4 linked regions of the Oreochromis niloticus genome follow. The main gene of each other region encodes a partner of the protein of the gene in region 4 in a complex. Links are inferred from orthologs where the notes say so. Each region holds a gene or a part of one and is shown on either strand. Other genes may lie near its edges.

The links.
Region 1: prpf3 (region 4) and usp39 share a complex: the UniProt entries of both Homo sapiens proteins name them as parts of the U4/U6-U5 tri-snRNP complex. The link is inferred for Oreochromis niloticus from reciprocal best matches to the Homo sapiens genes PRPF3 and USP39.
Region 2: prpf3 (region 4) and lsm4 share a complex: the UniProt entries of both Homo sapiens proteins name them as parts of the precatalytic spliceosome. The link is inferred for Oreochromis niloticus from reciprocal best matches to the Homo sapiens genes PRPF3 and LSM4.
Region 3: prpf3 (region 4) and txnl4a share a complex: the UniProt entries of both Homo sapiens proteins name them as parts of the precatalytic spliceosome. The link is inferred for Oreochromis niloticus from reciprocal best matches to the Homo sapiens genes PRPF3 and TXNL4A.

The regions. Positions count from the first base shown.
Region 1 is NC_031977.2:19,023,273-19,031,135, reverse strand, and holds the start of usp39 (ubiquitin carboxyl-terminal hydrolase 39), read left to right. Parts: upstream 1-4,846; 5' UTR 4,847-4,985; coding exon 4,986-5,049; intron 5,050-5,346; coding exon 5,347-5,425; intron 5,426-5,509; coding exon 5,510-5,604; intron 5,605-5,689; coding exon 5,690-5,826; intron 5,827-6,620; coding exon 6,621-6,773; intron 6,774-6,862; coding exon 6,863-7,088; intron 7,089-7,183; coding exon 7,184-7,258; intron 7,259-7,608; coding exon 7,609-7,676; intron 7,677-7,863. Other genes in the region: lg12h2orf68 (UPF0561 protein C2orf68 homolog), read right to left, coding at 1,691-1,813, 1,909-2,051, 2,149-2,264, 4,404-4,513.
Region 2 is NC_031980.2:32,135,473-32,143,128, reverse strand, and holds the start of lsm4 (U6 snRNA-associated Sm-like protein LSm4), read right to left. Parts: upstream 3,004-7,656; 5' UTR 2,869-3,003; coding exon 2,866-2,868; intron 2,348-2,865; coding exon 2,306-2,347; intron 1,949-2,305; coding exon 1,850-1,948; intron 1,375-1,849; coding exon 1,194-1,374; intron 201-1,193; coding exon 82-200; 3' UTR 1-81. Other genes in the region: pyroglutamyl-peptidase 1, read left to right, coding at 6,873-6,906. UniProt on the Homo sapiens protein: Plays a role in pre-mRNA splicing as component of the U4/U6-U5 tri-snRNP complex that is involved in spliceosome assembly, and as component of the precatalytic spliceosome (spliceosome B complex).
Region 3 is NC_031985.2:28,337,922-28,345,152, forward strand, and holds the start of txnl4a (thioredoxin-like protein 4A), read right to left. Parts: upstream 3,007-7,231; 5' UTR 2,831-3,006; intron 2,614-2,830; 5' UTR 2,587-2,613; coding exon 2,434-2,586; intron 1,129-2,433; coding exon 1,025-1,128; intron 1-1,024. UniProt on the Homo sapiens protein: Plays a role in pre-mRNA splicing as component of the U5 snRNP and U4/U6-U5 tri-snRNP complexes that are involved in spliceosome assembly, and as component of the precatalytic spliceosome (spliceosome B complex).
Region 4 is NC_031976.2:21,498,924-21,506,281, reverse strand, and holds the start of prpf3 (U4/U6 small nuclear ribonucleoprotein Prp3), read right to left. Parts: upstream 3,016-7,358; 5' UTR 2,854-3,015; intron 2,430-2,853; 5' UTR 2,421-2,429; coding exon 2,276-2,420; intron 1,677-2,275; coding exon 1,546-1,676; intron 1,154-1,545; coding exon 986-1,153; intron 873-985; coding exon 786-872; intron 681-785; coding exon 394-680; intron 275-393; coding exon 156-274; intron 55-155; coding exon 1-54. UniProt on the Homo sapiens protein: Plays a role in pre-mRNA splicing as component of the U4/U6-U5 tri-snRNP complex that is involved in spliceosome assembly, and as component of the precatalytic spliceosome (spliceosome B complex).

The sequences.
Region 1 (7,863 bases), on a different chromosome or scaffold from region 4:
AGATGGGAAAAGAAATGACATAACAGTGCGAAAAAAGTTATACAAAAATTACAATTGCTTAAATAATATGAGAACAGGTGCAACTTCACACAAACTAATCGCTTCTTTTGGTCACAAGATGAACATCTGCTTTGTCACAAAAAACTCAAGTTCATATTTTAGAGGTCTGCAAAGCAAAATATAAAACTGCCATTTGAAATCTGAACTCTACAAATAAAGAGTTCTTCCTGTGTATAGAGCAGGGGTAGGGAACTCCAGGCCTTGAGAGCCGGCGTCCTGCAGGTTCCTTGATCCAACACAGCTGATTCAAATGGCTAAATGACCTCCTCTACATGTCTTGAAGTTCTCCAGAGGCCTGGTAATGAACTAATCATTTGATTCAGGTGTGTTGACCCAGGGTGAGATCTAAAACCTGCAGAACACCAGCTCTCGAGGCCTGGAGTTCCCTACCCCTGGTATAGAGGCTATTATTCATTGTTGGACAAGCAGCCCCAATAAGATATGAGATTTCTGACAAAGCAGAGGACAGAGAAGCTCTGACTGAAGTGCACAAAGATCCTGAAATGGATACAAACCCAAGGCGCTACTCCATGTACAGCAACTTGCCACCTAATTCTTCGTTGCCCCTCTGTTCTTCACAGTATTTTAGTCAAAAAGTCAAAAGAGGGGAAATATTAGAACAATTCAAAGTGCCCCTTTTTATTGAAACTAAACTGTTTAGTAGGTGTCTGTAGAAAAATGCATTCTTTTTACAGAAGTACAGCATAAAACCTGATTTAAACAGGAGAAAAACTACAGCAGAGGTCTGCGTGGTTGTATGACTGATGCTGCCACCTGCTGAAAATTTGATGTGAAACATTTGTCAAATCAAACTGATGCAGTATTTTTCTATGTTCCAGTATTATATTCATGTTTAAAAATCAGAATCTATGTCATATAAGATAAGACAAAAAAAAAATAAAATAAAAAGTGGTGCTCAGCACCATAAAACTGGACAGCAATGCATGGCTTTAATACATTTTATATGTAAAGTGTCATCCTCAAAAAGATATTACAGTATCAAAAATAAGTCTCTCAACAATCCAAAATAAATCGGAGCACTGGAACCTACAGAACAGTTACCAACCCAACAAGGTCATCTACTAGACTCGGACTTCAAAACTAATTTCCCTCATTTCTTAAACACAGGATTGCTGACAGACCGATGACAGACAGACCGATGATCAGCTGAAAACGCTTCACACAAGGAGTTCAAATCTTAATTTAACAAACAGAATCTTTGTAAACACAAGAATCACAGGACATGGAGGACAACGCTTTTAGGGCTCTGTGCAGAAGAGTACCTGCTCCTTCTGAATGTAACTATTAAAAAGTAACAATTTTAAAAATGTCCAGTCAACTTAAACGTGTCCCCAATATGTGAATCAGAGAATAGCACAACTGTCCAAGGTCAAGAATTGCAATTGAACCTGAAAACAACTCCCAGCCATAAACTGTGCTCTTCCTTCTTACAAAAGAAAAAAAATGGCCTGAATATAAGTCACCATGTTAGATCTCTGCTGACAGTCACTCTAAATGATCCTTCTTATACCCTTAATGCACAAGAGTGCTCTGGAGGAGTGCAGAACTGCAAACGAAGTGTTCCTCCTCTTTGCGTGGAGCTCCTTTATGGTCGTAATCTGATGATTGCTCAGCGTTTGTCTCGCCTTTTGTCAATTTCTTTTCGAATTCGAACCTTCAGAGCTGCCCTCATGGCTGCATCCAGGATGTTCTTCTCTGCAACACGTTCTACCACCTTCTCAGGCTTGTCCTCCTTCAGAAACAAAAGGCATTTAAAGGAATTACACACAGGAAATGACCAAAGAAAACATTTTTATGAAAACATCATAAAAAGGAATCGGCATTAACCTTGTGCACAAGGATGGATGTAATGGTACCAGAATCAGCTTCATATTCAAGCCAAAAGAGTTCAGTCCCACTGGCGTCAGTCTCTGTGCTTGATCCACTCTCGTTTTCTTCAGCATCAGCACCGGCCCCTGGCTCTGAACCATCTGAATAATGAGCGCATGCACACACACAAACACTTTATCTTCCCGCTAATGGGTGCACTATCAGCACAAAAGTCAAGAGAAAGCACATCAGTCTTACGTCTTCTTCGAGGATGGTACACTTGCATGTCAGGTCGACGGGGTCTTCGAGGGGTTGTGGTGTGTCTCCGCCGCTGAAGCTCTTTGGCTTGCTTCACCTCTTTATCATAGTCATCTCTTGAGAAAGGGAATCAAAATTTAGTTAATGCAGAAAATGTGACAAACAAATAAATCCAAATAAATAAATAAAAAATAAAATTAACACATTGAAGGGCTGGACAAGCATTAATGGAGTGACACTGTTTTTTATATTGTGATTTTTGACTTGACTAACCACTGTATACAGATGTCATCATTTTAAATAAAATTGAAAGACACTGACAGAAAATACTCCTTTTTACCAGTCAGCCAGTCTTCAGACAGTGGTGAGAAGCTTACATACAGGCCATCAATGTAATTTGCGGATTTTCTTTGAACTGGCATGATATTCATGCCTACATATGCATTTATGCACATTTCTAACAGTTTGTTGTATAGTTCAGAAAATGCATTATGAAAGTAAGTCGTGCCTATGTAAATTTGGCACAAAAAGTAAGGTCCATTATTTCTTTCTTGTAACGATGCATCTTGCGAATAAATCTCATACCGTTGGAAAGCCTTTTTATTTCCCCTTCAGTAGTCCCACATTTCTCAGGAAAAATGCATTTTTCCTAACAAATGAATGGGATGAGCAGCAGAGGTGAGTATGGGGGTTGCGCCCATGAAAAAGTTGCTAAATCTTCTCTGCCAATACCAAAGAGCCTTATTCTGCTATTGACTCTTCTTTGGTGTTGCCTATTGAACTGGATGATTTAGGTCTTAAATTTTTTTTTTTTAGCAATTTTTTATTTCAAGAAATATGGGCCTATGCAGCACGTGGAACCATACGCAGACTCAACAGCTTGGCACCTTCTATGCTGGTCACCGGCTTGGTCCACATCCAAGCTGATCACATAACCGTTCAACGGGGTCAGGACTTCAGGTAGGACGTTCCATCCTCTCCACTCCCAAAAACTGGACCTGAGGTGGTCCGCTCTGTTGTGGTGAGCATTGTCATCTTTGAGGATAGAGTTCCCTCCTAGACTGTGGAGTTATGGGATTGCCACCATTTGCAGAATCTCGTCTCAGTATCTCTTGCATTGAGATTGACTCAAATTTTGGCAAGCCTCGTTTTTCCACTGAAGGAGATGCCGCCCCACGTTATAACACTGCCTCCACCAAAAGCTGCTATCCTATCGGTGCAGCAATCAGCACAGTTTCCCAGTGCACATGTTGCCAACAGCAGCACAAATGTGCCTGATGGTGAACAGCAGTCATGGCAGGCCTCCTGGCAGCCCTATGACACCGGAGATTGGCCTGTGCAGTCTGTTCTGGATTTTCTGGGTAGAGCACAGTCAGTGATACTGTTCTGCAAACCTTGACTGCAAATCTACAGAAGACTGACTTCTGTTCCAAAGTGCTGACAGGGTGAAGAAACAGTCTTCTTATGGCGTCGTCTTCTTGGGATGCCCATTTCGTGGCCTGTCTGACATCCCGCATCAAATAAAACTTGGCCTTTGATTTGGATAAGGGACTACACCAGCTTGAAGTTGCCCTATTGGCACGTGCCCTGTAAGGTCCACAATTACAGGTGGTGCTAATCCAACAATCAGACACCTGTCTGTATCCGGGATATCAGAATCTCAAAACAAAAGTCAGTAGCAGAAAAAAAACTGTTTGGGATTCGCAGATAAGATTTTCCAGGTTTTGTCATGGGCACAACCAACAAGTGACACAATTTAAAATAACACAAACAGACTTTCCAGTGAAATATCACTTATTTTCAAAAGCCAAACAAAGATTTTCTTTACTTTTTGTGCCAGGTTTACTTGCTTTACTGAAATGCATTTCAAAGAAACCTACAAACAAAAACATTATGTGATGTGTTTAATTTTTCTCCTAGTATTTTTGGGGTCTGTCGTATTTTCTGTCAAAAACAAGTTAAAATGATCCCCCTGTTAACAGATGCGCGCACTGATTGAACTCAGTTTTTTCCAGTATGCAGTTGTTTATCATTTTGCTCCTCAGTATCTTAAATCAAAGAGAACTGGTCACCAGGCCTCTGCGACCTCCCCATATATTTTAGCTCCGAATGTAAAAGCGTGTGTGTTAATAACAAGATAATATTTACTTAATCGTAAAATTATTTTTCACTAATAATAATAACGATGATGTTTTTAACTGAATGACCTAGTGTACTACCTACTAGCATAAGCTAATAGCAGCTGAGGAACTCACCTAGCAATCTGGTTCCTCCGGATATGGTGCAGGAAGCCGTGGCTCATATCCAAGCGACCACCTGGTTTGTATTTCAGCTCATGGACCCCCTCTTCTCTTAAAACATCCATTTCAGCAAACCGCTTCCAAACGACGTCAGTGTTTATGCACTGCTGACTGCAACAAGTCCCAATCAGAGCACTGTGAACGGTCAAAAAGCTATATAGCTAAGGCTAGCTAACGATAACATGTTGTCCAATTATAATGCTCCCTGAGTTAATAAATAATGATTATAACTAAATTGCGCACCATAAACAAATACCCAAATATGACAAACCTGTATATATATTTAAAACAAACAAAGATCCAGTTATACTTTAGAATTTGGCAAGTTATCATATTAGTTTTTGGTAAGTGACTAAGGGTGGGTATAGCGTTAGTAGGTTTTCAAACTCCGGGTTAGGTTTTAGTTTGCTACTCGACAGCTACAAGGCACAATCGCCGCGAGTTTCGAGGCGCACAGTGCTTGAGCCATTCATCACTCTCTCCAAATAACGTAAAGGTTTAGCTTCTAAATTGTTTTGACGCCGTCTATCTGCTGCTATGGTTTCTTTGAAGCGAGAAAGAGAGGTGGATTTAGATGATGATGATGACAATGAAGACGGAGGTAAGTATATTCCTCAAACGTATGCCCTGCGTTTGGTTAGCAGTTAGCGTTGTTGTTAGCCAGTGGTGCGTTGGTTTTTTTACTGGCCTGTCCAGTAACGCATAGACGGAGCAATAAGTGCCTCTACCATGTGCTTAACAAAACGATACCCCTCATCTTAAAGCACCCAGTGTTTGAAAACAAGCATACCTCACAACCTCAAAGCTAAGCTAGTTAGCATGTTTAGCTCATTGCTTTGAACTGTTGGTACATGGTTTAGCTTGACATTTGTTCTTCTTTGGTCACTTCACGTTGCAGTGGCAGCAAAAGTTGGACGAGGACATGCAGTAGAAGACCGAAGAAGCCGCCACTGTCCTTACCTTGACACCATAAACAGGTAGGTCGGAGTAGACTGTGCATTGCTATTAAAGCTGTATTCCACCTCTGCAGGTGAATTCAAGTCTGTGTGTCAATCCTGCAGGAGTGTGCTGGACTTCGACTTTGAGAAACTGTGCTCCATCTCTCTCTCCCACATCAATGTCTACGCCTGCCTTATATGTGGGAAATACTTTCAAGGTAGGCAAATGGACATTTTAACTGGGGATCAGACACCTTGTTGTACTTGTACTGATTTGTGTGGGGTTTGTTTTGTGTTTTGTAGGAAGAGGTCTGAAGTCCCACGCTTACACTCACAGCGTACAGTTTACCCATCATGTGTTCCTCAATCTGCACACACTCAAGTTTTACTGTCTGCCAGATAACTATGAGATCATCGATTCATCACTAGAAGATATCACAGTAAGTAATGTTTTTCATACTAAAACTAAAATTCATGTAATCTCACTGGCCACTTTATGGGGTACAACTTATTACCGTACTACAGGTTTGGACCCCTTTTACCTTCAGAGCTTGCTTATTAATTCTTCATGGCAGAGATTCAACAAGGTGTTTGATAATTCCTCAGAGAAATTGATCCATTTTGACATGATAGTGTCAGACAGTTGCTGCAGATTTGTCAGCTGCACATCCATGATGTGTGGCTCCTGTTTCATCACATCCCATTGCATTGAGATCTGGTGACTGGAGGCAATTTGAGCATTTAGACTCACTGGACCGTATTCACTAATCTCTGTGACCAGGATAGACAGCATTAGCTACACCAGAGGGACAGCTCAAGTTGAGCAGTTTAGAGGCAAAGTTAGAGACAAGTCTGAGGGTGGTTTGGACATGTGCAGAGGAGGGATAAGGAATATACTGGGCTGTAATGAGAAGAGGTAGATGAACCGCTTTGATGCCACCTAATAGGAGCAGCCGAAAGAAGAAAAAGAATCAACAGTGTAAAATGTATATCTATGCTAAAGGTTAGGTAACATTCAAATTATTTTGACTTTAGTGACTTTTTTTTTAAGCTGAATTGAGTGAATAAATATCTTCCAGTCTGAATTGTGACTGGATTGACTGAAGAAGCACCAGTGTTTTCAGTCTGATATGATAATAACCATGTTCTGTTTGATTTTGTCATTATTTCTGAGCTCTGGCTTTGTATCAGTTACCGCAAACAGCTGATTTGCTTACATTTCTTCTCTCTATAGTACGTGCTGAAGCCAACTTTCACCAAGCAGCACATTGCAGGGCTGGACAAGCAGGGTAAACTGTACAGAGCCTATGACGGTACCACCTACTTACCGGGCATTGTAGGGCTCAACAACATCAAAGCCAATGACTATGCCAATGTGGTGTTACAGGTATGGATATCTGCCACTCTAGATTTTATTAATTGTTGTAAATTTTCGGAATAATATCCTCCCTTCTCATTTGTGTCTCTCTTTTCAAGGCTTTTTCTAATGTTCCACCTTTGCGAAATTACTTCCTGGAGGAGGAAAACTACAGAGGAATCCGCAGGCCCCCAGGAGACATCATGTTTCTCTTGGTGCAGAGGTTTGGTGAGCTGATGCGCAAACTCTGGAATCCAAGAAACTTTAAGGCCCATGTGTCACCCCACGAGATGTTGCAGGCTGTAGTGTTGTGCAGCAAAAAGAACTTCCAGATTACAAAGCAAGGTATTACTTTACATTCACTAAATTGTGCTTTCTGGTCTCAGGTAGGCTTTCAACACAGGTTGTGGTGCTAACTAATTGTTTTTTCTCTTCTGCAGGTGATGCTGTGGACTTCATGACGTGGTTCTTAAATGCCCTGCATGGTGCTCTTGGAGGCACAAAGAAGAAGCCATGTAAGTGGAAGAAAAATCAAAGTGGATTTGACTCTGATGCTGTTTGGTTCTAATGCAGTAGTCTATCTACAGCCTTCTGTTGTGATATTAAAAGCATCTTAATGACTTTAAGGGTTAATTAAATTTCTATTTTTTCATTCTCAAACCTCGGGTTTCATACAGAATCTGCAGTCTCTGCACAAAATCATATTGCGAATGTGCGGTGTGATGGACAAGCTCTGTGGACTATGATGTTTGCAGACAACATTGTGATCTGTAGTCAGTGTGAGCAGGTGGAAGAAATCAGTTCCACGTTACACGTCAATTTGAGGCCACTAAACCTCCCTTTTCTTTTCCTTCTCCCCTCATAGCAATCATTACAAAAGCATTTCAAGGCTACATGCGGATCTTCTCCAAAAAACTCCCACACCCTGATTTGGTGAGTTTCTTGCTTGTTTTATAACTTTATTTAGAATAGAATAGAATAGAATAGAATAGAATAGAATAGAATAATCCTTTAATTGTCCCACAAGGGGAAATTTGGTATTTGTTTGTTTTATTTGTTACTTATTCAAATTCTTTAAAATGACTGCACGCCTTAAGATGCAGTTCTTAGTCCAGTAACA
Region 2 (7,656 bases), on a different chromosome or scaffold from region 4:
ACCAAAGAGATTTTTTTTCTTCATGTGCTGAAGGAAGAATCACTGATTAACAGGACGTTGTCAGAGGTGCAGCGTCGTCTGTCAGTGCTGGTTCTTCATTCCCTGTGGTTTTCCTGGTTTCTTATCTGACTGCTGCTGCTGCTGCTGCTGCTGACCCCGACCGGGGCCGGTCATCCCTCTGCCACGGCTGCCAAACAGACCTACAGAGAAAGTGAGAGAAAGCCTGTGTTAGATCAGGTAACAGAAAGTATTCCCAATCCCCTGTAAATATGAACAAATCTTAATATTTAAAATTCATTGAAAATAAATAAAATTAATAATACAGTTAAGGAGAATTGGTATGTATCACTGAAAACAGAAAAATGTAAAGTTATAAAGAACCTGCCACCAACACCAAGTAAAGACCAATATACGTTTAATAACTGGAAATGCCTCACACCTGACTATCACAAGTTTGTCAGAGGAAAAAGAAAATCAGGGGTGAAAGATGCACTTGGGAATTAAAACTCCATTTTCTAAGAAAAGTACCTTAGCTAGGTCTATGGAAATACGGAAATATCTGGTACTACGGCTCTAGCAGTACAGACTTTCAAGAGTGTACCTTAAGTTAACATAAATCCTTCAAATCCCCAAAATATCTGTGGATGTCCAACTTTGCGAGCAGATTTGGAGGCCTACAGAAACCACAATGCAATCAAACCCAGGACCTTCATTCTGAGAGGCCACATTTTTGACTACCACACCACCGTGCTGCCCAACTGGGAAGATCTGTTTAATATCTTTTACAAATCATATCAGGTTTTGATGTGAAGCAGCCACAATCCTCTCATGTGAACAAAAAAAGGAAGGTAGTAGATATGAAAAGACTTTAAATTAAACACTTATAAGAAAAAGTTATGAGGCTCCTGTTGGTCAAATCATCCATAAACATATGTGGTAGAAGCTGTCAGAAATTTCAGCTATGATTACGATAATAGTCATGGGTTCCTAGAATGGTTAGGGATTCGATAATTCTTTAACCTCAGTGAAATTAAAGTTGAACTTGGATAATTTATTTTTACATTTATCAGGTGTAAATTTGTTTATTTACAAACACTCTGGAAAGAACTGACAGAAATGTGGAAACAATACTCAATACTGTCCCATGTTTATTAAGACATCCAGCACGAACAACAAAAGCTGCTTCCACTCACCTCGGCCACCTGCTCCTCTTCCTTTGCCCTGCTGTTTGTTCTGCTGGGCGCCTCCACGTCCACGCCCCTTCGACACCACCTCCTCCTTCACCATATCGATGATTTCATCTGGGATTCGCAGATATTTGATGGTGCTTCCTCGGATGTAGCACTCAGGCATTCTCCAGAACTTATCTCCATCCTGTGAGAGGGGAGTGGGGCTGTCGTTCCATCAAATTGGCTTAACAATTAACTCAAGATTAAAAGAAAAGAAAAAGAAAAAAAAAAAAGCACTCTCTCGTAAGACCAAACAGCTACATATATAGAAATATCTGTACTGAAACAATACTTTAGTAGTGTATTTACAGCAAAAGGAAAAAAAAATCCAGAAGTTCACTCTCATTCCTCTTTCCCATTCAAAATTCCCTGTAGCTATTTAGCTAGAGTAATGTGTGGCTCAGTCCAAATCAGTGTTTTTGGAACAGTTAGAGAAAAGCAGGGCTGTGCACAAACACCAGAGCGCAGCCAGCCAGCAGGTGTATCCACCAAAAAGTGTGAATAACTTACTCAGCCTTTATATAAAACGATGATATCTCTGCACACAACACTGAAAACTGTCTTTTCTAACCATCAGTCATTAATCTAGAGCTTTATTGTAAGAGCAAGGTCAGTGTTACCCTGGATGTGCAGATGACTTCTCTCAGGTTGATGTTCATCCAGTTATCACAACTGACCAGGTGACCGTTGTACGTCTCTCCATTCTTCAGCTCCACCAACTACAGAGAGAAAAGATGAGGGGGGGAAAAAACTTGTCTTAGAATATTTTCAGAATTCAGAGCTGTATTAAAAGTTTCAATACTCACTACAAAAAATAAACTGAACTTGTGCCAATTAAAGTTCTAAAAAGAAATTAGGACTGGCTATAGTTTAGCAAAATAAAATGAGAGAGCTGAAGCCACAATTATATACAGTATAAATTTCAAAAGAAACCTGAATCATTTTCTGCTCACACACTTACAATTCACTGCTTTCTACATGTAAGAAATCTTGAGATGTCACTTTCTCTCCTCACGATTATATTTTTTTTACAGCCTGTTATATAAAATTGTATACATGGTCCAAGTCAGTCTCACCATAGGGTGGTTCTGGGCAGTCTTCAGCAGAGACAAGGGAAGCTGCAAAACAAAAGAGAACCAGGTCAAACATGGCGAAACGTGTGTAATCAACGGCATTTACCGAAGTGAGCACTGAAGCGAGAGTACATAAAACAGCCAGGAGTGTTATAGTCCAAAGAAAACGTCTCCATAGCCGCGGTGTTTAGCGTAGACATGAAGGTGCTCTTATGTTCAGGTTTTTTAAGAGTGCCTTCAGGTCTACGTCGTTTACTCACCGACTCCTATGAACTGTCAGTAACCTTAAAACTGCAAGAGTATGGAGCTAAATAAGATTATAAATCCCCGCCTCAGCACGTCGAGCATGACCTAAAAGCTTTCTAAAGCTATGTATTAAGTCTGCACTTATTTAAAAACAACTAGTGTACGTAATCGATGCTTAATTTAGCTGCTAAGCTAACTTCACATAGCTAACGTACCGAGTATGGAGAGGCAAGGCGATGCTGCTAGCACTGAGAGTGCTAGCTGAAAATCTAGCACTCTCAGCGCCACTGAAGAGAAGAAAAGTTTTAACAACTCACCATTTTGATGGTTTCTTTTTTTCTTTTAGTGTCTTACTTGCTAACACGATTTTCCCACCTACTGTTACTCTTTGTCTTCCGGTGCTGCGAGGCGCATTCATGACTGTATTATATGATGCTGCCCTCTACTGTCAGAAACACGCATTTCCAATATTAAATGAGAACAAATGAAAGGTGCAACGATTAAAATGTGCCACTTTAATAAGAATAAGTAAAGTAAAAAATATCAAAATAATTAGATATAAAAATAAAATTGCATTTTTTATATGCTGCATCTCTCCTATTCCCAAGATATACTTAAGATATCCTTCATTTGTTTTATTTATAAAGATAATTCACCAGTGGGTGTTTAATTTAGCAAAAAATCCCCTTTATCTGAACCATGTTTTCTCACAGATTTAAAAACTGATAACCGGAGACTGTATGGCGTTTTGGTGGTGAGCAAACAGTTAGATTAGTTATTTAAGGAATACTATTCTTCTTTCTTCTTACATTTTTAGTCCCTTACCAATTGTTTAAAACTATTGATTGTTAAAGTCAACAAATACACTGGGAAATGGAGGAGAATTATCCAAATAACTGAAAAGTTTTCATATATGAGACACACGATTTACATGAAATCCAAAAGCAGGTCAACAGCCAAAAACACAGAGTTCAACACATTGTTCATCATTATAAGGTAGAATACAACCATAACCACTTTCTTCTTATTTTAAAGCGGTTATTAGCAACAGCTCTCCAGGCTTTCTGAAGGTCTTTCAAAGGTTTTCCTTAGAAATTCATTGCTTTTTAACTCATTTACAGTCCATCCTAATAGTTGACCATTTTCAGAGATATGCTTTTTATTTTTTTCTTTCTTTCTAATACCACTTACACTGACCTATATCATTTAAGTAAACAGCTATATTAAAAAACGGTCACAAGAAACCTTAATAGAGTTCAAGTTGTGTTGAAGAATTAAGGTAAATATTGACTTTCATGCTGGTTAGAATTGTATAGACTGTTTTTTGCTTTGTATTCTGTATTTTCATGTATGTTTGCACATGCTTCAATGCACCTAGTTCCCATTTTATTTGCAAAATATAAAAAAACGGGTAGCTCAAGACGTTTGCACAGTAATGTAAATAGTTTAATAGAAAATGAAAATAATGTTAATTTTTGAAGTTACATCTTCAACGCAGGAAATGGATGGATTTATATTTTTTAATTAAACAAATAAATAAATGAGCAATAGAAACAGACAAAGAGGTAATAGAAAAAACCCCCATTAAAACCACTATCAGGAAAGTATAAGACCCGTTTGGAGGGGTTATTTCGATGACTTGCCATGAAAATATTATTGCCTTTCATTCTGTCATACATTGTCCCATCTGGACCAAAGAGCACACATACGATAAGGCTCCAGCCCTGAACATATTTCAACTGCCATATTTGACATCAGGGACAGCGCCACCTAGTGGGAGCAGGAAATGTCATGTTTTATACTTTGGGGTTCAGTATTATGATGGGTGACATCTGCAGCCTCAAATTTCTCCAGGAAAGCCTTAAGGAGTTGGTCTTGCTTTACAGTGAAATCTGTGACTTTTCGCGAAAGGGTGTGACCCCAGCAGCATGGCGAACTTTGATGTCTCGCCATGAAGAAACAAATTAGTATAGCTCAATGAAATCCAGACTGATCAGCATCAGCACCAGACTTTACAGGCATGATGTCAGACCCGCCCTGAACAGATTGATGTGACCATTGTCAGGAATACGCAGGTTTTCACAGGTTCGTCGTGGCCACCTCAAAAGCGGTGAATATCACGATCAGTCCATCATGATGCTTCAGTGCGAAAATTGTGACTTTAAACTGAACGGCGCACCCTGGTGGCAACGCGGTTCACCATGAAAGATGAAGTGGCTTTTGAGGGGCTTGGAAAGTTTAAAAAGTCTTGAAATTTGGCGCACACCTCCAATGTGATGAGGGCTTTGTTGTTATGTGATCACTTTCCTTGAATAGTGCAAAATGGCTCCACAGCGCCCCCTACACAATTTCAAAACAACAGCCCCTGCTCTGTGTTTTATATATGAGTCTGAAACCTGGTAAGCTTGTGGGAGATATCAAGATGTACAAAAAAGTCTCTTGGAGCAATATCCCAAATCCAACAGGAAGTCGGCTATTTTAAAATGAATGTGTAATTTTGGCGACATTTTCCCCTCTTTTCAGGCCTCGTTCTTTGACGAACTCCTCCAAGGGATTTCATCATATTGCCGCGATCTCCTGTGTGTGGAATCTAAAGACCTTTGTGATGTTAAATTGCGAAGCTTTTTACGTTCAGGGAAACGGGGTGGTCATGGTGGCACGTGGAGTTTCAATCACTCGCCAAAAAGCAGTAATCTGCTGTCACTCAAAAATACAATGTCCAGTCTCTCCCAAAGGTCGCAGGCGTGATGAGACTCGAGCTCGGAAATGTTTGTTATGGCATTTGTCAGTAATGGTTAGAGCGCCACCTAGTGGGACGACTATAATAATGGTTGATTTAGATGAAATGTTAGCTGGTGGTTAAATGCATGAATTCCATCAATATAACATCAGATCGGACGCGCTGGTTTTAGGTGTTGGGCTTGGCTCGACGTGCCGGGGTGCGAGGGCCCTCGTATCGCTGCTTGCAGCTTTAATTTTATATTGTAATTACAATGTTGAGAAACTCCCTGTAAAACTCTCATCCTTCCATAAGCAGGTCCTCTTAGCATGGACCCTCATTTATAAACACAACTTCTCACCACACAAATACCTCATCTGGAACAACAGAGATATTTTATTTGAAAATAAATCACTTTTCCTGGAAACTTGGGTCCAAAATGCGATCCTATTGGTGGCTCAGCTGGTTAATAAAGGGGGACAACTACTTACTTACAACGACTTTATTGCACTATATAATTTTCCAGTCAGTGTTCGGGAATTCTCAATGGTGCTTGGTGCCATACCCTCAGGTACTTTAATGTTATATAAAAACACTGACAGCTCAATATCTACCTCACTCACTCTCCCAGATACAGCTGAGTCAGCAGTAGGGAAAATCTGCTTTTCACAGGAACTTGGTGACAGCAATAAGAGAATACGCAGTTTATTCCAAGGGGATATCGTCTCTCTCCCATATATAATATCTTACTGGAACCGATATGTTCCAGATATCAACTGGAAGACAGTCTGGATGATCCCCCATAAATATTTGATTGTAAATAAGGTGAAGGAAGTTTCATTTAAAATTCTACATAAATGTTATCCTGCCAGTCACTACATGGTAAAATTTAAAAGAGACATAAATACTAATTGTACTTTCTGTGGGGATCATCCAGAAACTGTGACACATCTTTTTTGGTACTGTTCTTCTACACAGAGATTCTGGAAGGAATTTAGCAGGTTTGTTATTGTCCATATTTTAAGGGAGTTTTCTTTACGATGGGAAAATGTTTTATTCTGTTTCTTTAAGTTCCCCAAGAAGAATGATAAATGTTTTTTATAATAAATTTGTTAATACTTTTAGCTAAATTTTTTATCCATAAATGTAAGTTTACTAATAAAACACCATATTTCTGTCATTTTCTTAAGCATGTGGAATTGTACATACAATCAATATCAGACTCCACCAACAAAAAGGCTCTCAAAACAATATATATATGTGAATTTTTGCGTGTATTCATATAATTATTACTTTTTTCTTTTTACCCCTGGTTTTGTGTGTTCATGTTCTGTTCTTCTGTATACTTCATCTTTTCGTATGTTGTATACTCACTGTTTGTCAAATAAAATTTTAAAAAAAACTATTTAAAAAAATCTTTCAAAAACGTATTTTTGCTGACGTAATCACGTCACGTCTTAGGCTGCCTGCGGAAGGAGGGAGTACCTCCGGTTTGTGTGTGGGAGAAGGAGCCGTCAGCTCTGCGGGGTGGACTCTCACTCTAACCCTGTTCAAAGTAAAGACCGAGAAAAAAGAGGCAGCGGTTCCTCGTGATCGGGACGGGAGATGGATAACAGTAAACGGGCTGTGGTCGTTACAGGTTTGGGCTCTTTTATCCGCTGTCGTTGTCTCTTTTGTCTGTTGAGGAAAAGTTGAGGAGACTAAAGCTGCTCCATTAATGGCGTCAGGTCGTTCCTGCTCCACTCTGTTGCAACTGTACAGAAAGAAACGAGTACTTTTGTGGGAGTTCTGACCCTTTAGAGTTTTGGGGGGAGGCATTATTGAATAGTTACACGCTACAGACCGGTTCGGTGATCTCACCAGTGTGTTAGATTACTTCAGCTGAAAGGCCGCAGACAGTAAACAAATTACTCCCTTTTTATTTATATCATCTTTTTATTACACATTTTTTTTTGCTCTATGGATACGGTATAATATTTGTTTCTAAATGCTTTCAAATATCCCGTGTTCATCTGAAGTATTAGTCACTAATGATGAGCACATACCATATGGCAGCAAAGGTAATAATGCATATATTTTCATAAATATTAGATGTTGTTAGTTGTGACTTGGGACATTATTGAAATTATTTCAGTTTTAAAAAATGGATATCATAGGAGTTATGTCAGTAAATATAGACAGATGAACAATAGATAAAGTTGAAAACACAAGACAGAGAGAGTTTAATCATGAAATCTTTAGCCTAAATTATTGTTTTTTATTCTTTATTGCTTTGAATTATTCGTATCTTCCTGTCTAATTGTTGGGTGTGATGCCATTATAGATCTGTGGCTTAAAATACATATCCTATTCCCAAACAGGGACTAGGTTCCACTTTTGATAAGTTACT
Region 3 (7,231 bases), on a different chromosome or scaffold from region 4:
AGTTTGATGTTGAGTTCCTTTAAATCACATTTAAATACCAAAAACTGGGTTTCCATCTGTGTTCTAATGTGGAAAACAGATTAAAACTAAAAACTGAAGGGTTTTTTTTTTTTTCTTTAAATTTCAGTGACATAATGTGAATTATTTCAAGTATTCTTGTTTTAACTTTTATAATTATGGTCTTCAGTCCAAAACAAATAAGTAACTGTCCATCTGTCTAGTTTGATACAGCCAATCATAATCATGAGGAAGACTGCTGATAGATGATGCTCCTGATGATGATCAGAGCATAAACTGATGAACCTTCCTGCTCTATAGGAATATAACCAGAGTACAACCAGCTGGCAGCCGGATGAGTCGACTTGCCTTCAGCTTTTAACAAAGACTCATTCAAACTGATGGCAACATGCTGGCAATCTGTCTGCATTTACAAATTAGACAGCACGTATTTACAAACCTTCGGCAATCTCTCAGAGTGTGACTGCTTATTCAAGTCGGACAGCAACTGTTTGCATAAAGGTTGCCTCCCATCAGGTACCTTGTGTAATCGCCTTACAATCAAAAAGTGATTGTTTGCTCTGAATTAGGGGGCAGCTGCGTTAAGATAAGCGTGTCCAGTGCTGGGAAAGTTTTCGGTTAAGTTTTCTCAAGATGGTCATGCATGAGTTGAGCTCTCTTGTTCAAAGTATTCCCAGAGTATGTTAACTTCTTTATTAAAATATCAGTATCTGGTGTTTTCCCCCACGCACCATCATACCTCTCTAGTACAGTCTTCTGGTCTGCTTATTTAATGTGTTGTGAGTTTGATGTGAAGCAGAGTCCAGAAGAGCACAGCTGAACACTTTTAGTGTTAAAAGAACTAGATTATCCTTACATAAATGAAGTGTACAATGACTGCAAGATTTAGCAGTTTTGTTAATATGATTAGTTTTAATAACTAATAACCTGAGTGCATTCCAGCAATGCCAGTCTACTAAATAACAACAACAGTGACAGAATGCAGGGCTGACACTGACAGCCTCACCTGAAGAAGAACATGACAGTGCAGGGGTCGTACAACTCGTACATCTTGTTGAAATCAGGTACTTCTGTGATGTCCACCAGGTAAATGACTGCAAAATTCTTAACCTGTCAAGGCAAAGTAAAAAACAAAAGTAAATACAGACAGAAAAAAAAAAAGAAGAAGAAAAGTGCTGCTCTTAGCAAAATGTTTTCCTGGACATCAAGTCAATTTTATCTTTTAAAAATTACACAAGGCCAGGTTTCTTTTTAACTTTAACAGCTCTGGGTAGCAAGGTTACATCTGGAAAATCATCAACCAATTGCTACCTCAGAGCCAAATCCTCCAGCAAAAGCCTTGGTTGTAAAATCAGCAATAATCTTCCATGACCAGTCAATGTAGTACGGAGCCTCCAGGCCCCTTTAAGAGGCATTAGAAAGTCTCAAACAAAAAAAATCTGGGTTTAAATAAATAAACAAATACTAGCTCTGTTGGTGAGCAGGCCTGTGGCCAGATAGCAGCAGGCCTGGGTTCGAGTCTGACCTGTGGCCCTTCGCTGCATGTCTTCCTCTCTTTCCCCACTTTCCTGTCTATCTATGCTGTCTCTATCCATTACAGGCTAAAAGGCCAAAAAAACTAAACTAAACTAAATTGAATCAATGGAAATTGATACAGTAATATTGAATCAAACTGCACTGACACTACAGTTATCATAGTGAAAATGTAGTTAGGTGCACTTTTTTTCCCTCTTCTTGACTTGCTGTATCCATAACACTGCTCTCAAGGAGTGACCCAGAAACATGGGTGAAGTTGGCTCTCTGAACTGAGTCATTACTAAAGTCATACTGTCTTTTATGGCTACTTTTCCTCCGGGTTTTGAGTTTACCAGTGAAAAAATAAAAATTGTTGCCACACTATAAGGACTAACATATGTCAGCAAATTACTGAAGGTAGCTTGCTGAAACTCAAAGACTTGGGAAAAACCTGAACCATGAAAACAAACAAAATGACCAAAACAAAGACTACTTGGGAGAGGGAGGGGGAAAAAGTGCCAGCATTACATTTGTACAAGTTATAGGCTCTACAAACTTTCACCTCTTAAGTTGTAATTAACAGTAAGAGAAAGACTTGCGTTTAGAAAGATTATTTGCAGGAGAGAAAAATCACTACATCCCAGAATAAGACCCCACCAAGGATGCTGTGCATATATTTTCAATTTGTAAGATTTTAAGACGTATTTAAATGTTACAATAAATGGTAAAATATTCCACGTATTGCCCTTAAAGTACTAAAATGACCTCCTCTATACTGAATTTTATCAGCTTAATAATATTACATGCATCCGGTTAAACCCCCACAAACAGCGCCCTCTACAGGAGTTCAGATAAGAAACATAAGCTAGCAAACAGTCGTCGTTGATAAACTACTCAGACCTTTTCCGCGATGCTGTAAAGAACTTCGTCCATCTTCATACATGTCGGGTCCCAATCGTGTCCGAAGCGGATAACCAGGACTCGGTCCTCCTCAGACAAGATGGCTTGGTCGACCTGCCAGCCGTTGTGGAGATGTGGTAGCATGTACGACATGTTGATCCAAAGTTTTTGATTCCTAAGCTGCAAATAAATATGTTTCATTATAACAGTAGCAAATGTGTAAATTACATTATAAATTACATCCAATAAAACCTCTGTTTTTGTTTGTGTTAGTCATAATAGGCAGTAAGCCTGCTGCTAACGGGGCAGTCTGGGTTGAGGTTAGCAAGGAAAAATCTGGAAGGAGAAATAGAGAGCCCTGCATAAAAAGAAGTGAACAAACTTCGGAAACACTTACCTAAAAACGTAAATAAATCCGTGTTATTAGGCCACGAATGTAGTGTTTGTGGTAACAATGCAATTCGTAACTCCAAGAAAGAGAAACTTTGTTGAATAATACCTCTGCTACAGCTCTTGCCGCTGTGTACTTTGTCGCAAATGGTTCGTTTCTAGACACGTGACGTCATCAATCCAGCGCCAGACGTGTTTACGTCACGTCCGTGTGTACGTTTTAGTCAGATGCAACCACATTTTAGGTTTTTCCTTAGTGAATTATGCTGTAAGACGTCCTGACCCTATTCAATCTGCTTTAGGTAACCTCTGTTTTTCATTTATGAGAAAAATGACTTCCAAAATCAGATTTCAGGAAAACACGGCATCCTTTCCAGCTGCAACATGGAAGAATTTTCTTAATATTAACTGGAACAAAGGGCATTTCCGGGATTTTTTTTTAATGGGGTGGCACAGCGGGTTGGTGGGGTGTGGAAGTCATAGGAATTCAGAAAATCCGATCAGAAACAACTTGTCACTTGTTTCTACGTTTTTCTTTTCGGGTAATTTTAGTGTTTCCACACCTGCCAAATCTCGATGTAGCCCTATAGTCGTTTTTCTATTTAGGTGTGGAGGCAAAGTCAACGCTCTACAATTTAGACAACAGCAAATACAGCTACATTTTTTACTGCCTTTGTTAAGATTTTTTTTAATAATAATAATAATATAACATGAGTTTTAATTAGTTGTCAAAAAATTCAAAGAGCTACTTTTTATTTTTGTATAGAGTACATTTCAGAGCCTGTACTTTTTAAAAAAAAACAAAACTTTTGAGTAAGGACATTGAATGGGTATGTTAATATTTACTAGAGCATTTTTAAATACAACTATCTGTATTTCTACTTAAGTGATGAATGTGTGTGAAGAAGAGGAGCAAACAAATTTCAGATATGTCAGTGCCACCACACCCCACCCCTTTAGCCCCGCCCCTGTCTGGAAGAACTTTTGGTCTTTACCAGTGATTGTAGAAGACAGGTTTATACTGTGGTTACACTGAAAAACATTACACAGTTACAGGTCCCTGCACAAAAGTACTTTCAGACAAATACGGTTTAGAAGAGCTTCATTTAAGGTGATTTACCCAGTGAAACATTTCTATAAAGGTTCGAGAATGACATAGACAAAGTACTGTGAGCTAATTACTGAAACTTGGTGCCATCTATTTTGGTCTTATCTTAATATCTTGATGCATGCTCAATCATCCGGGTAAGTAAATCCCAAAGGCTGATTCTGTGTATCTGGATGTAGCGTTTTCAGTGGGAGAAACATTTCGTCACTCATCCAAGTGACCTCTTCAGTCTCAGCTGACTGCGGGATTCCACAATCTTATAAACAGTACATTTGCATAATGACTGAAACTAGCACCACTGAAGGGACAATGGGTGGAAGGTCAGTTCCTTGATCATTAATATGCAAATTCTCATGACCATTGATCAACAACTACTGATCAAAGACCACTGATCATTGGCCATGAGTAGAGAGTTGATAGAGAGCTGAGCTGAGACTGAAGAGTGATGAAATGTTTCTCCCACTGAAAACTCTACGTCCAGACGAACAGAGTCAACCTTTGGGATCTATTTTGGTCCTTTCATTTTACACATGGGCTGTGAAAAGGTGTTCATGTTTCATAGTTGATAACATTTTATTAGATTTTATTTTTTTATTATAGTAACATTACATTTGGTTACTGTTTAATGTGACTAAGGCGCAGCTGCATTTTATCTACTATATTACATCATATCAAATGCTCCTCCTTGAAAATGTATCCAAAAGTTGATTGTCACAAAACTACAAACCATTAACTCACCAAATGTCTTTGAGTGAACTTAGATCAAGCTTATATATATATATATATGTATATATATGTATATATATATATATATATATATATATATATATATATATATATATATATACATATACATATATTATATATATATACATATATATATATGTATATATATATAATATATATATTATATATATATATATATATATATGTATATATATATGTATATGTATATATATATATATATATATATATATATACATATACATATATATAGAAGGCAACATTGCAGACATAGAGGACAGTTACAAGTACCTGGGGATCCCGCAAGCGAATGGGAACCACGAAGAGGGCGCTAGGAAAGCTGCAACCACCAAGTACCTGCAGAGGGTCAGGCAAGTCCTGAGGAGTCAGCTGAACGGTAAGAACAAGATCCGGGCCATCAACACCTACGCCCTGCCCGTGATCAGGTACCCTGCTGGGGTAATAGGCTGGCCAAAGGAGGAGATAGAAGCCACTGACATAAAGACAAGAAAGCTCCTTACCATGCATGGAGGGTTTCACCCCAAGTCCAGCACCCTGAGGCTGTATGCTAAGCGGAAGGAAGGGGGCCGGGGACTGGTGAGTGTCAGCACCACAGTCCAGGATGAGACAAGAAACATCCACGAATACATCACGAAGATGGCCCCAACTGACAGCGTGCTCAGTGAATACCTCAGGCAGCAGAAACCCAAGAAAGAGGAGGAAGGCGAGGAACCATCATGGAAGGACAGGCCCCTGCACGGTATGTACCACCGGCAGATAGAGGAGGTGGCTGATATCCAGAAATCCTACCAGTGGCTGGACAAAGCTGGACTGAAAGACAGCACAGAGGCACTAATCATGGCAGCACAAGAACAAGCTCTGAGTACAAGATCCATAGAGGCTGGGGTCTATCACACCAGGCAAGACCCCAGGTGCAGGCTGTGTAAAGATGCCCCAGAGACAATCCAGCACATAACAGCAGGGTGCAAGATGCTAGCAGGCAAGGCATACATGGAGCGCCATAACCAAGTGGCCGGCATAGTGTACAGGAACATCTGTGCCGAGTATAACCTGGAAGTCCCGAGGTCAAAATGGGAGATGCCCCCAAGGGTGGTGGAGAATGACCGAGCTAAGATCCTGTGGGACTTCCAGATGCAGACGGATAAAATGGTGGTGGCTAACCAACCGGACATAGTGGTGGTAGACAAACAGAAGAAGACGGCCGTAGTGATCGATGTAGCGGTTCCGAATGACAGCAACATCAGGAAGAAGGAACACGAGAAGCTGGAGAAATACCAAGGGCTCAGAGAAGAGCTCGAGAGGATGTGGAGGGTGAAGGTAACGGTGGTCCCCGTGGTAATCGGAGCACTAGGTGCGGTGACTCCCAAGCTAGGCGAGTGGCTCCAGCAGATCCCGGGAACAACATCGGAGATCTCTGTCCAGAAGAGCGCAGTCCTGGGAACAGCTAAGATACTGCGCAGGACCCTCAAGCTCCCAGGCCTCTGGTAGAGGACCCGAGCTTGAAGGATAAACCGCCCGCAGGGGCGTGCTGGGTGTTTTTGTTTTTTTTACATATATATATATTATATATATATAATATATATATATTATATATATAATATATATATATTATATATATATAATATATATATATAATATATATATAATATATATATATAAATATATATAATATATATATATAAATATATATAATATATATATATATATATATAAATATATATAAATATATATAAATAAGCTTGATCTAAGTTCATATATATATTAATTATATATACATATATATATATATATATATAAATATATATAAATAAGCTTGATCTAAGTTCATATATATATTAATTATATATACATATATATATAGGTATACATGCATACAGTAGTATGTTGATTTTTGTTTTTTGGACTTCTGTAAGGAGACTTTCAGGATTCCTAGAAGTTTGTTTTAAAGCTGTCTAATCTTGGTGGTAGTAAACTACTATCATCAAGACGTATTGTCATATTTTAACTTGTTATAAGATAAGAGATAAGATGGCCTTTATTAGTCCCACAGGTGGGAAATTTGTTTTGTTACAGCAAAAGTGCTTGTTGTGCTTTGCCAGAGGACATTTTCCCTCATATGAAAATACCTTCTCTGGCACGCATACATTTCATTACCAAACACTCTGTAACCAATGAAAAGATTGCAAGTCCTCAGACAAACAAATAACTCCTGGCTCTTCATGCCTCTGCTCACCCACTTCTAAATCGGTATTACACATCATCCCTGCATTTTTGTAGCTGGTAGTTTTAGTACTTACTGTCAAAAGGAATGGTGCCATTAAGATTTAATTTTTCTTGGCAATTAAAACAACAAAATAATGTTTCCAGGATAAACTGCAGATGTTATGTAATACCGTTGCGTGATTGTAAGCAAGTACAGCTGTTGGTTGGAAAGAATGCAAACTTCACACTTTTACTGAATTTTTAATTGGAGGGCGAGTGTAAAGACACATAAATGTACATTAACAGTTCTCATGCAGGAAAAGGACACAAAGA
Region 4 (7,358 bases):
GCTTCTCCTTCAGCTGCTGGCGGAACTGCTCTCTCTTTACTGCTCGAATGTTAGCTACACAGGGAAAGAAAAATGTTTTGTGGAATATCAAAACAAAGAAAACACATTGTGCATGTTTGTGTACAAATATTGGATCACTGTATCCATGTATGTACCTTTGAGCGTAGGCATGCGGTGTGTGAGTTCAACCTCTTTGCCACTGGCATCTACAGTTCTTCCCTTCTCATCCAGGATAAGAGGTGTCGGTTTGTTCACCTCCTTGGGTTCTACTTTGCTGTAGTTACACATAAAGAGAAAGCAGTTCAATGTCAATTGAGCACAAAGACATCACCTACTTTTTTCATGTCTTGTGCATATTTTAAAATCTTATATTTATAGTCTGACATCACTTACGGTGGAGCAATCCCCATGGCATGTAGATTAGCTAGTGCCACAAAGTTTTGTGGCCCAGTGTTCCCCAAAGCTCCGAGGATGCCAGGTTTCATAGCTAACTGGGACTGAATGCGAGCCTGTAGCTCAGCGGCTTTACGGGCCTTCTCAATTGCATCATTCATGAAGCTGGCAGCCTGGTAGGGAGCGATGGATGACCCACCACCAGCTGCTGCAGCACCAGCAGTGCCAAGAAGTCGAGAGAGTGGAGGGGCATCCAGCTGCGACTGTGGAGTGGGAACAGGCAACCGCTAGAGTCAGAAAGAAATTAGAAAGGTTTCAAATAGAATTTACAGCCTGAAAAGGCGGCAGTTCTTTATTCAGTATGTATTTTTATGGGAAAGAAATCTCATTACTGTTGTAGCAGGAGCTGGAGCAGTAAAGCTTAGTTGTTTCTTCCTTTCTTCGATCTGTTTTGTGGCTGCTTCCATCATCTGTTTGATCTGTTAGGACAGCAAAAGGATTCAGAGGTGACTGACAAAGAAAATAAAGCCACTATACTTACATATACACATATATATATTGTCTACTGTCTATTGCACCAAGTATCATGTACCTGCATTTTGGTGAGCATGCCGGGGCTCTCTGATGGAGGTCCTGGTATCACCTCAGGTTGCTCCACCTCCTCAAAACGGGGGACTCGTTTCCTCTTTGCCGTTGTGCCATCTGTTGGCTCGGGAGTTTCTCGCACTGCGCCTGTGTCAGCCTCTTCACCAAACACATCCTGAGTACAACCGGCAAACACACAAACACCAATAAAAATAAATATCTTATGCAGCAATTAAACTTTCCGTAAGAATAATCAGTATTGTATCAGTGCAGTCCATGTAGAACTAAAGTTAAGTGCAATCTGAGTGAAACCTCAATTAAGTCTAATGCTGGAGTAAAGGAAGTGTAAGGGGATGTTTACACTGAGGTTTAAGTTAATCAAACTGAGGCTTAACACAATCAGACTAATCACTGCATGCATTGAATGCAATGTATTTAATTTCTTTAAACGGGTCACTTTTGCTTATGAGCGTGTTTTTTGTCAGAAAACTCCTCACCTCCAGATCTAGTTATTCAGTTATATAATGATAATATAAAGTATGAACATTTGCTATGATGTTAGGTTACCTTAAGTTCTCTCTTCCGGTTTTTTTCTCCAGATCCTTTGTTCCCACGTGTGCTGCGGCTCTCCTCGAGGGCTTCAAAAAGCCGCTCTACAAAGCCTCCAGCAGAGTCATCGAGAAAAGGACGCAGTTGGTCTGAGGACAATAAATATGAAATAATTAACACTCTGAAAAGAAAATACTGTTACCACAGAATAGCTTAAATACCCACATAAAAATATACACTGACATTTAAACTACAGCACCTACAGAAGTCACAGTCTAACAGACCAAGCAATTATTTCCCAGACAGATGAAATAAATAAATAAATAAACAAACAAACAAATAAAAGCAATAGGCAGCTTTCTTTGTACTCATAATCTTTCATTTGAATGAACAAATGACTGCAGTATTTTAACTGGACAGCAAATCTATTACCTTTGCAAACAAGCCCTGCTGATAGCTACATCGCAGATCCTCACGCCATCATTTTGTGGGTTGGCTGTCTGCACTATGTTAAGAACCCACAGCTTGGTAGTCATGTCAAATACTCCTAAGAAGGCCAGATAGGTTTTCAGACTGCTGTTGGACTCTTGCTACTTGGCTGGACTTTTTTCTCTGCAATGATGGGTGCATTTTGTAAGAAGGTAAAACAAATCACCCTGGGATATACCTCTGATGTCAGAGGCACTTTTGGCTGAATTGAATCGTCACCAGATCTCTAAATAAATAAGAGATATTTCTCCGAACTTACCTATGGTCTTCCTTTTGTCTAGTCCCTTTCCCACACAGTGCAATGCTGCAGTCACCACAGTGGGCTCCGAGAAACCCAGCACCTTCTTCACAGTGCGTTCCACCCATGGCCTCAACTCCTCCACCTCCCGCTTTGGAAGAGACATCCTCCAATCCTGCAGGACATCAAATACTTATGTCATGGATTACCGCTACTGAGCATGGTTATTACTCAAAATCTTCGTGATTTCTGGCCTTGATTAGTCCTATATCACACAAATGTGATAGTCCCAAACATGAGCTCCAAAACCCGCCGTCCTTTATTCACTTAGCTACAGCTGCTCTGACACAGACGTTCACCAGTTTGCAACTAATAAAAACTCCCACATAAACAGTCAGTCACTCCGAACTTGCTGCACTTTGTTAGTTGATGAGTGTTAAATCAGACTGATTAAATTAAAGCGCCAGCCCGTAGCAACATACATTGTTAAATCAATCACATCCGCCAAACCTCCCTGGTTAGATGCTAACTAACGTTAGCACACTGGTGTAAGCGAGCTACCATCACCGGGGAATAACTGCTTCATGAGGCTTACAAACCTTAGATTACTCTTCTATCGTAGTCAGCCCGTTTACGCCGTGGAGGTCAAATAAAAACGATGAAGACTCAGACGCGTGAAACACTCAACGTGCGAAGTTTTCTCCAAAACTTTCTGTTTAGTCGCGCGTCCGCACGACGTTTCTGTTTCAAGCCCCGGAACAGGAAATGGACGCAGCTTCTTCTTCGTGGACTTTTTCCGCAGAGTCGTTTCGTTTCAAGTGTGCGGTGTTTCCACCTATCTGCACATGTATGGAAATATCCCTGTTTTCCACAAGGTAAAACGTATTTCTCCCAAATAGTTTTAAAAATCTGAGGGTTAAGGCAATTTATTTATCCGTGAAAGTTCGTTCTTGACCAGGTTAATGTTGTGTCGTTATAGCATTATGCCCACAGCTCAGGGTTTTTCCAGGAATTAAAACTGTCTTGTGGGTGTGACTATGCACACTGCGTTTTATCCTGACGAGTTCGCTTTCAAACCCATTTTCCTTCAACTAACCTTATACAAGCCCCAACTAGTTTTCATTTTCACCAGCGAAAACACATTAATGAATCTGCCTATTTAGCTATAATACACATGGGACACATTATAATAGAGAGCCATGGCAGTCTTTGGATCCTGGATTAAAATTCTCTAACAGCACAAAATGATGGTAGAAGTCAAACGTATATAGAAAAATTTATTACACTTTTTTTTTTTAGCAGATTTGTCTGGTGATACACGCAGTCTTTTGTCCATTTAAATCAAACTAAGCTAACTGACTATCAAGTTGTTGGCATCATGTAATTGCAGAGCAATATATTTATAGAAACTCTAGCTGAACACTAGGTGTAATCGAAATAATTAGTTACTGAAATAAAGAATAGACTTGAAAATTAATGTTACTATAACAACAATATGTATATACATCAGTAAAGTGAGATTAATGTTTTTTGTTTTTTTTTTAAGTATGGAAAAAGTGTTTATTCTTTGATACATATCATGTTCTTGGCCTCTTAACCTCACCCAGGTCACCTGTTTAGGATTAAGGGTAATAATGTCTTCTAGTTTCTGAGACTATGCTTCTTCATCTTCTTGGTAAAATTCAGCATAAGCCTACCACTAAGTGGATCAGCAGTGACTTGGTGGTTGTTAAGAGGTTAAATCTTTTCCCTGGCAACTTCAAATACCAAAACTAGTTAAAGCTGGATTAAAACTAATGTTTTACATTCTGGGAACTAAGAGAGTGATCTGAATTGCAAATAAAAATCCAAATTGAAAAAATAGCTGATGAAGAGCTTTGGCAGAGAGTATTCTCATATTTCTCCTTTACAAGGTTCATGATAGGGCTTTGTCTTCATATTAAAAGCGCAGTGTTTCTATGATTTTCACAGAAGTCAAACTAGTCATAAATATTGCCTAATTATTAACCGCAGCTCAGTCATGAACCCAGTCCCCTGGTAAAAATTATCAGATGATCTCCATTTCCTTCCCCTGAATGCCCGCCTCCTGACTTTTTTCCCTCTCTTTGCATGATGTGGGTCAACTGCGTGCACTTATAGTAGTGTGAGCATGAATCAGTTGCAGAGAGCCCGAGGCTACACCAGGCTGCCAAATGACTCGCTCTGTCTACAGCAAACCACATCCATGCTTTCGCTCACAGTGCTAATGCCACGTGCAACCATCAGGAAGAGTTGCATACGCAGCATGCTTTAGTTACAACACATGCTCTTTCTCTATCACCAAAATGTCAGATAGTCATTACAGATGCATTCATTTACTCCTACTGAACAACACACCTCCATCATCATCCCCTGCCGATTCATCACTCATGTACTTAATATTTACGTCCATGTTTACAAGCACACTACAACCCAAGTTGTGTGAATATGGAAGGAAATCTGGTAGTTTAAAGGAAGCCTCTAATTAGGACCACAGAATAATACATGGAAATCTGAGGCACTTTGATTACATGCTTTTTCCACCACAACAAACGCCTTTTGTTGTTTTCACTTTGAAACCATTTTTCTCTGTGACCTTGAGGAAAATCAGAATGTCATATATCTAGTTTTCCCAAAAACAAGGTCTTACTGATCACTTATTTAAGTTATTGAGTGTAGTAAATTATTCCTTGTTCTGTTTAAATTGTTGAATGCAAGTTGCAATGCAATGTTTTGATCTGAAACAGTCTAATGATTTATATATTAGCTACTATTTCAATTGAAAATTAAATGTATTTTACCATAATTTAAGCAAAATAGTTTACCACATGGCTTCCAGCTTTTTAAAGGTAACTATTATCAAAGTGAACATTATGGAGTTAAGCTCTGTTGGTTCAGGAAAACAAGAACATTTGAAGATATGCACGTGGAGTATGTAATTGCTTCTTGGGTTGTTTTTGTTGTTGTTGTTGTTTTTAGGTATTCACTGATATATTGCCCAAGAATAACTGCTGCTGGCAAGATTGACCTCGTTGGCTGTCAGTTATGTAATGACATTTGCAAGTAGCAGTGACTATTGTTCCATTGTATGTGTTGTACAAATGTGGCTGCCTCTGGAGCTGAAAACTGATGCCAATATGGAAGTGCCAAAAACTGCATTAGTTCCTCTAGTGGCCACTTTAGGCCCGTTCCAACAAGAAGTTAATCCCAAGGGATGTTTTGGCCCTTTTCTAACAATAACTATCAGGCAACTATCCTATACAGCCACCTGGATACTGGAGTTAGGTTCATGGACTCTTTGACTGACACAGGCAGCTGGACCTGATAGGCAGAGGCAACGCTTTCCACCAGGCATGCCCGGCCAAACAAACTTCAAACTACAGCAGTTGCAATGAGCAAAGTTTGCAGGCCTGACCTCGCTAAGGGGGAACCAGACAAGTGTTTAAAATTCTTTTAAAACAAACCTAAAGACAAAAAAAGAAAGTCATTCAATAAAAATGAAGTTGTCCCTTAAGGAGTGACGAAATAGAAAGTAAGTGATGTTTATTTATAAAGTGCTAGCAATATAAAACTATGGTAGAAGACATAACAATAAAAAAGACAATAAAAATATAATTAATAATAGAATTTCAATAGAAAGCGTGGTTAAACAGAGAAGAATTCAATTGTCGAAGAGTCAGCTAAATGTACAGTAGGGAAAAATTGATTCTCCTGCTGAATTTGTACGTTTTGCTGAGTTAGAAAAAAAAAAATGCATAGCCGCTAATTTTTATCTTAATAGAGAGGGACAGAATATCAACCAAAAATCCAGAAAAAAACACATCACATAAAAGTTATGCATTGATTTGCATGCCTTTAACTGAAATAAGTGCCAGTCACACTTCTTCCTCCCACAAATTGGCTGCGTGTCCATGTGGCACACAAATTACATTCAGTCAATTACAGATACTCCCGAACTTAACTCGCTATGTTTAGAAAGCACACCTGCTCACAGAATCAATTTCTTTCTTTCCAACTTTGACCACCAGTACCAAAACAGCTGTCCAATGACATCAAGGACAAGATTGTAGATCTACACAAGACCATCAGCAAGAAGCTTGTTGAGAAGGTGACAAATGTTGGTGTGATTATTATGAAATGGAATAAATATAAATGGACCACAGTCACCAAGAACACAATTGGTAAAACACTATGCTATAAGGTCTCCCTGCCCAAGAAGGCACAAAATCCCTCCTGAGATGTGTGCAGACCTCGTGACCAACTAAAGAAATATCTTCCCACTGTGCTTGCCAACAGTTGTTTCTCCACCAAGCACTAACACATTTTTTGGGGATCAAAAACCTACTTCACTCAGTGACATGCAAGTCAATTTGTAACTTTTATGTAACGTGTTTTATTTTCTGGATTTTTGATTGATATTCTGTCCATTCAAAAAAAACTACCGTTAAAATTACAGACTGTTAATTTCTTTGTAAGTGAGCAAACCTTCAAATTCAGCAGATGATGAAATAATTATTTTCCCCACTGCAGCTGGAATGTTAGACTTTTCCAAACCCTTGGTGCCACAGACTGAAAGACTCTGCCCACCCCCTAGTCTTCAATCTCATACAATGAAGTAAGCAAAAGTGAGTTTAGTTATTTATATAGCACCTTTAAAGATATTGATCACAAAGTGCTAAACAAAAGAAAACAAAAAACATCAGACATCAGTACATTGAAATAGTTCATTAAAAGCAATTGTAAAAAGATTTTTTGTTGCTTTTAAAAAAGCTGAACAGAGTTTGCAGACCTAAAACTAAAGGGGAGAAAGTTCCAGAGTCCTGGTGCTACTACTGAGATAAGGCTCTGTCACCTTTAGTTTTTACCCTTGCATGTGGCACAGCAGGCCTCGGTCAGATGACCTTAGGGATCTGCTAAGGCCATACAGATGTAAAAGTTCTTAGATGCATGCTTGCGCTTGACCATTCAGAGCCCTATAAGTGAGAACCAAAATCTTGACATGTATTCTCGAGTCAATGGGATGCCAATGGAGCTGGGAGAGTAGCAGTGTGACATGAGAAAACTTTGGTGATTTGTTCAGAAGTCT